2 linked regions of the Oryza sativa Japonica Group genome follow. The protein of the gene in region 1 interacts with the protein of each later gene in a pairwise test. Links are inferred from orthologs where the notes say so. Each region holds a gene or a part of one and is shown in the gene's direction. Other genes may lie near its edges.

Region 1 (7,434 bases):
AGCTGGTGGCGGCGCACGTGGGCTGCCTGCGCGTGGCGACGCCCATCGACCACCTCCCGCTGATCGACGCGCAGCTCGCGCAGTCCAGCGGCCTCCTCCACTCCTACGCCGCGCACCACCGCCCCTTCCTCTCCCCCCACGACAAGCAGGAGCTCGACTCCTTCCTCGTACGCATCTATTTAATTTCTTCCTGAGTTCGATGCGCCATGCTTGATTAATTTCACTAGGTTGAATTTAATCTTTGCATTTGTGCATGCATGCATACATTACATGCAAGTATCATACCGTACGCACTAGCTACATGATTAACTAGAAGCTATCCAGCCAAGCTAACTGTATATATGCATACTGAAATGATCGATGCAGGCGCAGTACATGATGCTGCTGTGCTCGTTCAGGGAGCAGCTGCAGCAGCACGTCCGGGTGCACGCCGTGGAGGCCGTCATGGCGTGCCGCGAGATCGAGCAATCCTTGCAGGACCTAACCGGTAATTAACTACTACAGTATCATACATGCATTACATATTTTCCACTATATATTACATATTTCATTACTTTCCCTCTCCTTCTCGCCGCCTTCTTTTCTGTATTTTTTTTTCGATTTCCATGGTGTCGTCTTTATGATTTTTGTTCACCTTTTTGCTCTTCTCGTTAGTTAGATTAGATGGTGAAATTGTTTTTTTTTAGTTCGTTGCCGCTAGCTCTTGCAGTGATATATTAGTTGCAGCGTCTTGTTCAAACATATATATGGTCTCTTGATTCCCTCTCAACAGATTTGCATGCCTTGACTTCTAAGGTTCCGGTTTCTACAGGTGTATTCAGAGGAGATTAGTTAAATATGAAAACTCTAACACACGTACCTAACAGCGACTTTATTGCTGATGTTTATACTCGAATCAATGGAATGATAAATAACACGGAATTACCAAGGCCCACATAGATGGCAGCCCGTATACTAGGGAAAGCCCAGAAGCCCAACGGTAGATGTCACGAAAACAATTTCAGATATTCCTTTTTAGCATAAAATCCTTCCAGTTCAAAAACAAGGGCACCAATTTTTTTTTATAATCATTTTGTGTTATTAACAGAGAATAGCATAGTCAAGGTTTCTAAGGCCTATATATATATATATGTGTACGTAGTTAGACGTGATACCCTTGGTAAAATTAACTTAATCAGTTCATATATATACTGATATGAGGTGACTAGCTAGCTATTTTTCTTCTTTTCTCACAAAGTCTCAATTGGAGGTTTATGATCAGTTGAAATAAAAAAAATTCCAACAACAAAATTTGAACCAACTATTTGGCATAAATCTAATGAAACTATCCTTTGCTAAGAGAACCATGGGTTGGATATATACATCCTTATTAGTGTAGAGGCTGGATATTAATCTGTTATCTAAGAAAACAATCCATGAACTTATAAAATGCATTTAGCCATCTCCGGCGCAGATCAAGCGCTGCCATTCGGTCATGGCCGATTGGTTGGTTGGTTGCTAGCTAGCGAGAAATCGCTGAGAGGATATTGAAAAGCTAGTAGGTAGTGTAACAGCTACCTAAGCCTTATTTGGAGAGCTTTGAGATTTTAGGAAGCATAGCTAGTTAGTAGTCAATCACTCAATTGGTGAGAATATGGAAAAAAATAGGTTTTCTAACTTTAAACTTCTAGTTCATTTTTTAAATTCAATAACTATAATTTCTTAGAATCTAGATGAAAATTTAAACTGTTTGAAAAAAAAGGTTATATAAAAGAAGCTACGACTATCAAAAGCTCCCTCAAACAGAATCTAGGTTACATGAAAGTCATCTAGGTTCCATGCTAATCCTGGCTCGGAGTTGAAAGTCCATGCCTCTCGTCTAATCGACTAGCTAATTAAATGATTCAGGTGCTTCGCTTCTGTCGAATAATATATATCACACACGACCATGGAAAGTGGAAGGTGTGTCACATGACATGATATGACCGGCCGATCGAGCTCTTGGCGATCGTCCTCTTATCATGAGGGGCATCGTCATAATCATGATGCATCGATTGGGATTCAACTATAGTAGTCATTGCATATTCAAAAAGCATCAGGGTTGATGTAATGTAACTGAAGAAAAACACCCATGATGATTGGCGAAATAGATGTTGAAAACTTAGCATGCGCATACATACGTAAACTTCAATTGTAGGTAGAGAAAAATTACATTTCACCTGTAAATTAGGACACTGGGAAGTTGTTAAATTACTAGTCCACTCTTTTGACCTGGATTCTAAGGTTCTTTATAGGTTGAATTTTTATTTTTATTTTTTATTTTGGTGTGTGTGCGCGCGCGCGCTTCAGTTGGTTTTGGTTGCTTTAGAGCATAACATCAAAGCCATGCTACTTTAAAAAAACTATAATAATAATAATAATAATAATAATAATAATAATAATAATAATAATAATAATAATAATAATAATAATAATAATAATAATAATAATAATAATAATAATAATAATAATAATAATAATAATAATAATAATAATAATAATAATAATAATAATAATAATAATAATAAGAAGAAGAAGAAGAAGAAGAAGAAGAAGAAATAAAGACGAAGATCGAATTGGAGCTATAATATGCTAACTTATCTAGCTAGGCAGTTCAAAGTACACTGGTAGCTAGCTAGTAGTTCCTGCGAGCTGTTTCATGCAGGCAATGCAGCTGGCGAGAGCTGCATATGCAAAACTCCAAATCAGAGACATCTTTTCGATTGGGTAGCTTTCAAGCTGTTTCAAGTGGCCATGCGCATAGCTCGTACAACTGTCTATCTCTGCTCGATCTCACACGTTCCAGTTCATGCAGCTCGATCGATCGCCGACGTCGACAAAGCCCTCATGCATGCCTCCGTACTGCATGCATGCCCTAGCTAATTAGCTCTAACTCACTGTGTAGCACAATCTAGATTGAATATAACCGACAAACTTTGCTAGCTACTAGCTCTTCTTTTTCATGTTATTATACTTGCTTCAAGCTAATCTTTAATTTTTCATGTTATTAGATATAGGAATAACTAATCAAATAAATTAAAGAAATAGGACAGTTACAAGAGATGTGATCATCAATTAATTAACTACAGTAGTTGATTTACACTTACCTGGATGCATATGCAATTGATCATCAGGTGCAACTTTGGAGGAAGGGACAGGGGCGACCATGTCGGAGGACGAGGATGAGACGGCGCCGATGCTGGAGGGCCCGATGGATATGGGCTCGGACGGGCACGACCTCATGGGCTTCGGCCCGCTCATGCCCACCGACTCCGAGCGATCCCTCATGGAGCGGGTCAGGCAAGAGCTCAAGATTGAGCTCAAGCAGGTACATGCATGCATTGTTATTAATTTCTTCTTACGTCTTGCATGCACCTACATTCGTCTCTTCAACTCATGCATGCATATATCTTATCAATGTTTAAGCGTGTTCATTTAACATGCTTAAACATTGATAAGAGACTGTTCATGCAAGGATCATGCCGAGCTAGCTAAAATAGTACTACTGCTGCTAGCTAGCTGCTTTTTAGGGCAAAAACAGTGCATGATCAGCTTAAATGAGCTAGTTACTAGCATGAAAATCTCCTTCTTAAGTTCCTTGTACTGTGTCATAGAATACTTTGACTGAAGACTGAGCCTAGATCATTGCATATCATATTAATTGGTGTCATGTTTGATGCGGCGCCTCAGCTATATATGTGACTGACAATAACTGACTAAGACTAGCTACTTCTGGATGCATGCATGCTATTGCTAGTTCTTCAATCAGTTCCTAAATTAATTATATTGGATTATGTAATTAACTAGAGGGTGATACGTACTTTTGCAATCTTATCTCTGATTAAATTATTAAATTCGTTACAGGGCTTCAAGTCAAGGATTGAGGATGTGAGAGAAGAAATATTGAGGAAGAGGAGGGCAGGAAAGTTGCCTGGGGACACCACCACCATACTCAAGCAATGGTGGCAGCAACACTCCAAGTGGCCATACCCCACGGTGAGTACATTGTACCTATCAAGCATGCTTGCAAGAGTGCAACTAACTAGCTACTAGTCGAGATAGCCCTTCTTAGCTGTTCTCCAACTTGTTGATCAATATATCTTGATGTGCTAACTTTACAATTAATATTTATATATAATATAGCAAGAAGCAATAATATTTATTAATTAGCTAATCAGATATGCACGAAGAATTGCATGGATATAATACAGTTGGTTGAGTGGCATATATATTTTCTTGGTACAGGAGGATGATAAGGCAAAGCTTGTTGAAGAGACTGGCCTGCAGCTCAAGCAAATCAACAACTGGTTCATCAATCAGAGAAAGCGTAACTGGCACAACAACTCACAGACATCAACCCTTAAATCAAAGCGTAAAAGGTAAACAAACCGTTATCCAAGTATTTTATCCACAGTAATACAATGTTGATGTTTCAGTAATTAACAACTGAATTATAACACAAACTTCTTTTTTCTATATGTAATACAGGTAAAGGGCAGAAAAAAATGTATACCTGACGTACTCGCTAATCAAATCAAAAGAAGACATGGTGACTCATAAGTAATAAGATCATCTTAAATTGTATATCTAGTTATTAATTAGTCAGAGGTGACAAATTCATGACATACATACTAGTCTGACCACTGGCATATGCGTTGTAATTTTTGAGCAGATATGCTCAAGCAAATTCTTCTTGTTGGTATAGTTTTTAATTTTGTTGTCGTGGGTGTACCTGCATGCATACATAACCCCAAGACTAATTCATTTGCTGTGCATATACATTGACCATTCTATAACCTTCTGCTAGTCAAATAATCAAAAAGCGCACGCCATTGCAATCCAGCATTAATTCAACTGCGTTTATGGATGGAACGGAATCTCTATCTATATTTGTGGGCCTTGTATCAAGTAGTAGCAGGTATGCCAAACTGGAGTTGGACTATTGGTGATTAATTGGACAATTAGGCCTAACCAACACCACAAGACAAATTAAGGCTGGCACTAGCCTCTCATGATAATCCCGAAAATTTCCGGCGTATATGCGAGAGCCCTTCCAGCAAGCCAGCAGGGACACAAGACCAACCATATATATATTCACGTTTCTGTTTTTTAGTGTGTGGTTAGTGATAGTTTTGCATCGTCTTCCTCATTAGTATGTGGCTTAACATCTTCCAGATAATCGCTGTGCTGATTGTCAAATATTCCAATCAATTAAGGCTGGAGCTAGTGCACGGCTAGCTACGTCTCAACCAGAACGGACAACTCCGTTGAGACCTCACTGTCTCGGAAGACGCTGCACGTTGGTTCCCTGAAGATTGGCAGCGAAAAACAGCACCCATAATCCATATAGAGGTTGCTATCCAGCTACTCATGTCCAAAATCTATAAAGCAACCAAACATATACTGATCGTAAATTCAAAGTTCTGGTGAAAAAAAAAAAGTATCTGATGCGTCAATCTGTGTTGCTCTCAGACGTAATATTCAGAGATTCAGACATAACACGGGTCACATACAAGCTCCAGTTGTTGATTGTTCGTTGTAGACAAGCAACAATCTACACAGGCAATGTTATCACCAAATTCTGATAAAAAGTTCCAAATCTAAGTTGACATTTCATGGCGATCCTTTATTCAGAGAAGAACGTATTCAAGAATGATCAACACGGGGAGCTGATAATTTCTACGAAACGGGTTCACAGTATACCACACCCGGAGGAATCCAAATTATGTTTGCAGTTTACCACCCAGACCAGTCACAGATCGATTAATATATCGACATCACCTATAATAACACTACAACCACCCTAATGTTTACATTGTTCACAATATACCGATTTCGTCACAAAGACATATCTCCAATTTCTGCATTTCCTTTACTTGCCGTAGTAACCTTGTGGAGGAGGGTAGGAGCCCTGAGGCGGGTAGGAACCAGGTGGGGGATAAGAGCCAGGGGGAGGGTATGCACCACCCTGGGGGTAACCTGCCGGAGGGTAAGCAGCTGGTGGATAACCTTGAGCAGGCGGAGCAGGAGGATAGCCACCATAAGGCTGACCGTATGCTGGCTGTTGTGGTGTGTACCCAACAGGAGGTGGAATAGGCTGATCGATGCGCGACATTTGCTGCATTGGAGGCACTGCCATGGGCTGTGGGCCGAACTTCCCATCTCTCTTGTCCATTTCAATTTTGTGTTGGGTCTGCACATGCATTTCAGTGGATAAGATGGATACGCAAAGGTTAAGAAGAGTGAGTAAATAATCACCAAAGATATTATGTATGTTTACCTGCATACAGGCGCAAACCCTGCAAAAAAAAAATGGTGCACAGGTCACAAGATTATCAACATTGGGGGACTTAACTATGGAGAAGAGAAAATAACAGAGTTATGAGAGCTTACGAGCAGTAGACCATATCAGACAAGCAGGAAAGGATTTGGGAAGCCTCTGAAAGCTCTTCACTACCAACAATAGCGGCAACTATAGAGAAGATACAAGCAATTTGTTGGAGGCAGAACATGAAGCCCTACAGGAAAAGAGTGATCTTCTGCAGTGTTATAGTCTCATAGAAAGGGAACATAGGAATTATACCTAAAAGTTAGTAAAACAAACAACAAGAGGACAGTGACAGTACAATGATGCAGTTATCGCATTTAGTTGTCTGTATGTTGAATTCATCTTGGAGCAAGAAGCGGGTTGAAGCAACTGAATTACCAAAGCACAGAAACACCTGAAAAATAAAGTACTAGTTAGTTCTAAGGTAAGCACAAAAATAGCATAATTAAAGGAATAGTGACAGTATTGGAGATTACTCCATTCAAGACAAGCATTACATGTTCCCGTTCTAATCTGAGATATATACGATTGATCAAACAAGATAACAACAAAATACAGCCAAATTATCCTTACCCCAGAATCATTGACCCTGGTGCTCTTTCATTGAAAAAAGAAGAACAGAAAAAATATTGTCATACTGAACTGTATTTCAGACTATCAGAAATACCATGAAAAGCATGCTTTTTGAGCACAACAAATATGTGAAATCCAGAAATCAGTAGAAAATATAGGTAATCAAATATTACAGAAGGAACCATCAATACTCCTTTTCTTTAGCAAGGGGTGGCCACCACTTTCCCCCCCCCCCCAAAAAAAAAAATAAATAAATAAATAAATAATCATATTACCGGAAATGGAACAGTCTTTACAGGCTGATTACAAAGCCAGATAGCAAAGAAAAGAAATATAAAAACCATCAATACTCATAGCCACATGAGAACTGTTACATGTGACATGCTGCCTATAAATTCAGCCTAATCAGTCATCAAAAGGTTATCAGCAAAAAAGGGAATGGATCTTGTACCTCAGTAGCAAGACAGAACTCTGGGCATCGGCTTTCACCACACTTCCCACTGCATGGCATGTAC
Region 2 (7,830 bases), on another chromosome or scaffold:
CTGTGGAAGGAGATTAGGGGCTTGTTTGATGAAACTTTTAGCAGCTGCAACTTCTTTGGAATCAAAAGATCTCAAGAAGTTGTAACTCCAATAAATGAACTAGAAGCCTTCTCCACGTATTCTGATGGTTAGCAGCACCCAGCCTGCTATGCACCATAACAAAGAACATCCCTCGAGGGCACAAAATATATAGAAATAGTGCCAAACCAAAGCAAAGTACTTCATATTAGAGAAATTGATCAAGTGCCCAACTCAACGGATAGGTGGGACTAAAATACTCGCTTATCCATTCTACTGAAATCTTTCTGGGCACGCTGGATTTGGAATGAACACAAAAATGCATCCTTCTTCTGGGACAGTCAGCTCGGAGTACACTGGGATTCCCTAGTAGCATTTCTCCCTGACCTGCAGAATCTTACGACAATTAAGGTGGGAGATGTTAGGCACACTTCTTTTTGGCATGATCTTTGGTACCGGGAGAACACCATGGCTGAAAATTATGGCCCCTCTACTCGCACTCTGTGGACAAACATGCTTTCAGTGTAGCAGGCGATGTCTAGGAAGTTGAGAAATCAATTTGTGTCAAGGCTCTCGATGATGGCTGAAGATCAGTTGCTCCAACTAGGGCTTTTACTCCAAGATCAGATCTTGACATCACAATTAGATATCAGGGACATGAATGGAGCAACAGGTCTGCTGCAGACCAAACAAATTTACTACGCCGTGTGCGATGACATAGACCTGTGCAGCTGTGCAACAACTGGAAGTTCATTTGGGAGAATAAAGCACCTTCGAAAGTGCAGCTCTTCGCATGGCTCCTAGCCAAGGAAAGACTCCCTACCAAGCTAAACCTCAACAAGAAGAAAATAGTACAATTGCCACTATGTGACCTTTGCAATGGGGCAGATGAGACAGTTTAACACATTATGTATCCAGTGCCCCTTTACAATTGCTCTCTGTAGACTGATCAGTGTTCAGATCAACATTTTGACTGTCAAGAACATGGCGGATTTGCTGCTCCCACTGCAAATTCCGATCAAACACTACTGGGTCTTCTTCCTTCTATGCTTTTGGGGCCTTTGGAACCATCGACATGATGTGGTACTCCGTGGAAAAATAACATATCTACGCAGGTTGATCGTGAGGTGCATCGACGACGCTACTCTTTGGACTGAGCGGCTAATCGTGGAGGATATGAATGCTTTTTCAGCTTGGAAAGAAATCATCTCTTCCTCCCTTTGATCTCTTGATTTGTAATGAAACCTGAACTTTACCTCCCTTGCAATGAAAATACAGGTGAGGCAGTTCTCCCCCCGGTGAACTTTCTTAAAAAAGATAAAAAAAAATAAAGATACAAATTGGATATGGAATTGGGGGCTCCGACGTGTAAGGAAATACAAACCTAGCTACTTCCATGACTGTGTTTCACTTTATCACATGTTGAAACAAGACGACGTCAGTCTAGACTTGAATCAAATAGCTTGAGTTTTAGACTTCCAATAGCTAATTTGTTAGCTGTTGTCGGGCTATCCATGTCCAAATGGGCTAGCTTGTCTAGCTAAAGTGTAAAGCAATTTATAGACTAGTGTCACAAGGAAAGACTTGTTGGTGTCACTCGTGGGACTATCTACTTGGGCCAAGGCAGAAGTTATTGGTGTCTTATATATGACACATGCCCTTGTATATTGGATCTCACCTTTGACTCACAACCTGTAACTGCCCACGGGCTCAAGATGCTCTATTGCCTCTAATTTTTAGACCAGGTGTATGGATGAAAATGGTACGGAAATTTTTTTGACCATACCGATGCCGTTTTCATTAAAAAAAATCGATATCATTTTTGATTGTTTCTGACTGTAAAATTTAGTTTTCTAATGTTTGTATGTGTCATATTGAAGTTGCTACTAAATATATAGTTAAATTCATAAATGTAGAACCGTTTCTATAAGACTAATAAAAATTGTATCGTTTCCTTGTTCCCCCATTCAATCCTTGCATGTTGGGCATCACAAAATTGACAACACTGCCAGCTTTATGCAGCTGCACAACAACAGCTTCATGGTGCAATTTCTCTTTTTTTCAGATCATAGTACTCCCTGAGTTGAGAACTTGTCTTGCCAATTATTGTTTTGAACATCAAAAGAGGCAACACTATTAAAGTCTGATGCAAAGTAGAGTGGAGATATAGCTAGCCCTATCCAGGTAGGCATAGCATAATCTTTGCTGGAGTCCTGGAGCTAGCGCAATAGAGCTTGCACTAGCCAGTTCATGCACCTTCCTGTACTTAACGAAATACCCGGATGGATGCACCTTACTGTTTGTTACGCGAGGCAGATGATGGGACATCCAGACAGACAGCTGAGAGAACATCTTTAACAAACCATCGCCCCTCCATTTATATCTGTGCTAGTGACTAAAATTAATTAAAGGCAAAAATTTACGGACATAAATCAAATTTATGTTCATTTTCTAAAATATTATTAACATATCCATACATTGTAACGGACTAGACCCATATAATTGAGTCGATTAGGAATGGACTGGAGGGTGAATTGAGAATAAAGCACTGGATCATGCAATTATTGCGCACACTATATATGTGGGAAGCAGCATACAAACAGGTTGCATGAGCAGTGAGAAGAGATGGAAGTACGACGACTCAACTTTTATAATAGTAAAGATACTAAAAAGTTAAAAATATCCAGGTGTTGGATATAGGTATACCAAGCGCATTTTTTTTCTTTCGCGGGAGAACAATATGCACACTCTGCCTATGACATTAGTTAATGATATTAATTCCCATAGTTTCATGGAGTGATATCAGCAATGTTCCCTATCAATAAAGGGAAATTTCACTATGCGTGGTAGTTCGAAAGGAGCGGAATATTCCCCAACTTTGCTGTAAAGTTGTAGCTAGGTTTTAAAAGGAAAAGACCCATGAGATCATAAGGGTGCTCTAAAAAAGGCAGGGTAATGAGTAGGACAGAGTAGTAGAGATAGGTTTAACATAACGAAAGTGCAAACCTGGCACTATTCTTTAGCACCGTACAAGTTCGCGAGCCCAGAACACAACCAATGCATAAGTTTCTAAAGTCTAAACAATCATATCGCTTTCTTTCCCTTTGTACATACAACAATCAAGGCAATGCATATACAATTTGGCCCAAATTAACTTGATTTATCTGGGCAACTTTGACAAGTAAAAAACCTTTGTGCTGTTTTCCATGTGTGTACCATTTGTATTTCTTAAATGCTAAAGAAATTTGCCCTGATCATTGCAACCGCAACTACATTAGTACAATTGCTATGATGATGATGCTGAGGCCGGTACAGGCTTAATTGGGTCCTTTCTTGGTGTCACAATCTGCAGAGTGTTTCAGAGCAACTCACCATTTCATCATTGTTCATCAGCTCAGAAATTCTTCTGCTATACTCACCCACTTGCCAATTTGCCATTGCCAACACCTTACAAAGAGAGGCACTCCTCCATTGCAATGCTCCATGGTAGCTAGCTAGCTGCACACCACAAGGCTTAGAAAGAGTGTGTGAGTGAGAGACTGAGAGATGAGCAGCCATGAGAGGTTCAGGCTGTCCCATCTCATGCCAAACTCATGGTTCTACAAGCTGAGGGACATGAAGAGGCCCAGGCCAACATCAAGCCGGATGATCACCGCAGCAGATCATGCAGCAAGAAGCTCCAGGAGATCGTCGTCGTCGTCAAGCAGCATCCACCACTACTACCTCCATGGACATGGAACCACCACTCCCAAGCCTCTCCCGTTGTCACCGCCGCGACGATCCTACTACCCCTACCTGGAACGAGCCAAGCAGATGCCACTGATGGAGAAGGAATCTCAGCTCATCTCCCACTCCCCTCTCCACCAAAGAATCCCCGCCACAGCCATTCCCGGAGACCACCACGACGGCGAGTTTCAAGACTTGCAGCTACGTCCTATACGCACGAGGCCACCGTCGGCGGCGGCGGCGTCGGCCGAGCCGAGGAGGACGGCGAGCGGGAGCGGCACGTGCCCGAGCTCGCCGAGGATGAGGAGCAGGAGGCTGCACGTTCTCGGCGGCTGCGAGTGTAGGGCTGGTAGTGGTCGCCGGAGGAGCGGCGGCGGTGGGTTCGCGGTGGTGAAGGCGTCGGCGGAGCCGGCGAGGGACTTCCGGGAGAGCATGGTGGAGATGGTGGTCGGGAACGGGATGCGGTCGCCGGAGGATTTGCTGGAGCTGCTCGAGTGCTACCTGTCGCTCAACGCGCGGGAGCACCACGGCGTGATCATGGAGGCGTTCAGGGGCGTCTGGGTTGAGATCGTCGCTGATGCTGATTGTTGCGTTGGGTTGTGAGCTATATTGATTCTGTTTTTGTATAGTTGGATTGATCGAATCGATTGAGCTGTAAATGGATATATTGTGCCGTTAATTTTTGGTGTTAATGAATCAAGCTGGCATATGTACAATGTTTTGTCCTGTAATTAAATCGAGGTATTCAAGGGCTATGCAGGGAAACTCTAGACTTCACGCTTAGTTTTGACAGTTAGCCATGCCAAATTAAACGACCGAATTTTTTTTCCAAACAAATTCTTCAAATAGCTGCATAATCATAAGCTTGGGAAATTCACAAAGAATACATGTCGCTGATGATTATTTGTTTGTGAACAGTGACTCGTGAGAACAACGTAGCTACGTAGCTATGCGGGACGGATCCGTTAGTAAGGTAAGACGTTTGTGGTGACTTTGTTAATCTTAAAATAGGGTGTGTTTATAAAAATGAGTCTGCGTGTATGCGTGTATATATATGAGTATACATGTTTTCAAAATATCTATGGAAGCCATCGTTTGACTTATTTTAAGCATATAAGCGCAACAGCATATTTACAAACAAAAAATAATTTTTAAATAAAACTTTTATATACGTGTTCTTAGCGATCTAAAAGAAAAGGCTGAAAAATAAACTTCGATGAAAAAAACCTTAAAATCAACTTCAAGTTTAAGGTTAAAAATTTAAATTTTGGCTGATAAGCATAAACATAAACATAAGTAAAAAAGATGAGTCTGTATGTCTTTGACACTAGATTGATTGGACAACCAAGTACAATTGGTACCGGCTTGGTATGGGTTTATCAACCAACACGGTACTGGACACGTTCTTTGCCATTGGCTTTATGTAAGGAGGGGTGAAATATTAGAGATAATCCCTTATATGCCATTGAAAATTGGTCTGATCCCTTATATGTCACTAAAAATTGGCTCTTCCCTTATATGCCATTGGTCTAAATTTGCGCATCCTCTCATGCTACTACCGTCAGTTGACCGTGTGTTGAACGTTAGCTTTCAAGTAAAAAAGACATATTTGCCCTCTCTGAGTTGTTAGGCATGCCCTATAATCAAAAGGGTAAATATGCCTTTTTTCCTTAAGAATTAACGGTCAATACACAGTCAACTGACGGGAGTGACATGAGAGGGTGTGCAAATTTGGATTAATGGCATATAAGGGAAGAGCCAATTTTCAATGGCATATAAAAGGATCAGACCAATTTTCAGTGGCATATAAGGGATTCTCTCGAAATATTAAGTTGGATATGGATATTGTCAGATAACAAATCACTTATCCTGTAACATATTCTATATTATTTTCTTCAAAATGGATTCATGAACGAATATCCATTTGTATTTTCAATTGATAGATATTAAATATAGACAAACAATTAAAGTGTTAAAAGAGATTCATCAAGGAAAAAATATACGATATTATCAAGTTAATCAATCTTTTATTATGGTTGTTGGTGAATTTATAATATATTTTTAAGTATGTTTCATAATATGGGACATACCGGCTATAAAACTCTTATTGTATTTTAACCCATATTTCTTAACGGATTCGGATTAAAACTCGGATAATAACGAATATCCTACTTTCTCTTCTATATTATTTTCCTTAGAGTTGGATCAGGTGGGTGGTCAAGAAATATCCGTTCCGTTTTCGATCCTGTAATGGTAAATTTGTGCCTGTTCTTTTCTCCAACAAAGTTAGATAAACTTTTGGATGCTCGTGGCATGCTTTTCAAACTGCTAAACGATATATTTCGTGCGAAAACTTTCTATATGAAAGTTATTCTAAAATATAAGATTAATCCATTTTTCAAGTTTGTAATAATTCAAACTCAATTAATCACACGTTATTATCACCTCGTTTTGCGTAAAACACTTAATCTTTATCTTCATCTTCAGGAGATTCAAACACCTATATTTTCCATTTTAGCCTCCTTTAACTGCGACGTTGGTCTCGCAAGAGTCCCACTGCCGAACCCAGCTACGTGTCGCCCAACGCCTCTACCTAGTCTCTAGATTTTTCACTTTTGATGCTTTAAAAAACTTATTCTACAAATAAACCCCTTAAAAACTTATTTTAGGAATGAACCCTTTTCACGGCGCATTAACAACATTGGCGTCGTCCTCCTTCAAATAAGTGACTTAGCATTTAGTGAGGGCAAGGGGAACCGTGGCAACGTCATTAGCGTTGTCACGTTGGACCATGACGCTGTTAATATTAGCGTCATCAAAATGATCAATTTCTTCGAATAAGTTTTTAGGTATCTATTCGTGGAATAATTAGTTTTCTAATTGGATAAAAGGTGAAAAATCCACGCCAGTTCCTCCTCCCCTTCTCCCAGCGCCACCGACCACCGCCCCTCGCCAGGAATGTCACCGCCAACGACAAGGACGAGGCACCGCGGGAGGATCTCCGGCCCGAATCTCGCCGTGCGCCCCAACTCTAGGCCAGCGGCAGATCTGGTCCCGCTGGATCCGGCCTCCGTAGTCCACAGCCTCGCCGCGGACGGCATCTCCTCGCCGGAGTCGCTCTCGCTGCTCCCTCACCAGCCGCCACCCTGCAGCGCTTCCCCCCAACATCGACAGCAACAAAGCTCCCTGAAGTTCAACATCTGTGTTTTCCCTTTTCTGCTAAGGTCAGTGAACTTATCCCAAAACCACAGCCGAAGACAAGATTGAATCATAAGGTCGCTTGGATATATGGGGACATTTCAAACTAGATGTGTTTAACGTATATGAATTATAGTTGCATGTAGCATGCTGAATAGAACTTGAATAGATCGGTGAATGAAAAATGTGGATGGGATATATATAATTTGGATTATGTACCATGATTGTTTTTTTTTTGTCTTGTTCGATTCATTTATATAGTGTAATTATAGAATGCAAGTCCATCTATCTAATTAGTACTTGTGTCTGAGAAAAAAAATCCATCTAATTAGCACTTTAAAGTTATATACTGATATAGTTTAGATTAGAGAAAACTGAAACTTAGTTTTTTTTAGCAACAACTTGTTGCTGATAGAACTCTGTATGATAATGGCTTTGCAGGAAACTTATCCAATCATCTTTTCGATCATTTAAGCTTTCCGATCATGTATGGACCATGTAAAAATGCATGGCTACAAAACTGGAGTAGCTCCTTTCTTTATTAAATAAAAAATTGAGCAAACTCTTGTTTTTTTCCCTTTATGTTATAGATAGAAAAATCTTGTCCAGCATGTTTTCAGAATAGAATGGCACTGATTTCCCGTTATGAAAAACTTGATAAATCATGCTGTCTTAAGTAGAATATAGTTCACACAAACTTTCATGAAATATATAGTAGACATGACCATAATTGGCCAGTAGGAGTGAAGTGTCCTGAGCAAAAAAACCAGGAGGGAAATGAGGGTGGTGTGTTCACCGAGGACGCTGATAGCCCCATACAAACATCTTACGCCCGCCCTCATTCACCGCGCTCGGTCGAACTAGCTCAACCTCAAATGTGCCCATGTC

The links.
Region 2: the proteins of homeobox protein knotted-1-like 3 (region 1) and transcription repressor OFP1 interact in a two-hybrid assay, tested with the Arabidopsis thaliana proteins (2 studies listed by BioGRID, with this or other methods). The link is inferred for Oryza sativa Japonica Group from reciprocal best matches to the Arabidopsis thaliana genes KNAT7 and OFP1.

Annotation. Positions count from the first base shown.
Region 1 is NC_089037.1:1,348,269-1,355,702, forward strand, and holds the end of homeobox protein knotted-1-like 3, read left to right. Parts: coding exon 1-167; intron 168-366; coding exon 367-487; intron 488-3,152; coding exon 3,153-3,346; intron 3,347-3,882; coding exon 3,883-4,014; intron 4,015-4,263; coding exon 4,264-4,401; 3' UTR 4,402-4,506; coding exon of another isoform or gene 4,507-4,510; 3' UTR 4,511-4,840; downstream 4,841-7,434. Other genes in the region: uncharacterized protein, read right to left, coding at 5,891-6,211, 6,299-6,317, 6,412-6,536, 6,645-6,740, 7,371-7,434. UniProt on the Arabidopsis thaliana protein: May be involved in secondary cell wall biosynthesis.
Region 2 is NC_089039.1:15,146,209-15,154,038, reverse strand, and holds transcription repressor OFP1, read left to right. Parts: upstream 1-3,301; 5' UTR 3,302-3,564; coding exon 3,565-4,347; 3' UTR 4,348-4,457; downstream 4,458-7,830. Other genes in the region: uncharacterized protein, read right to left, coding at 7,735-7,830.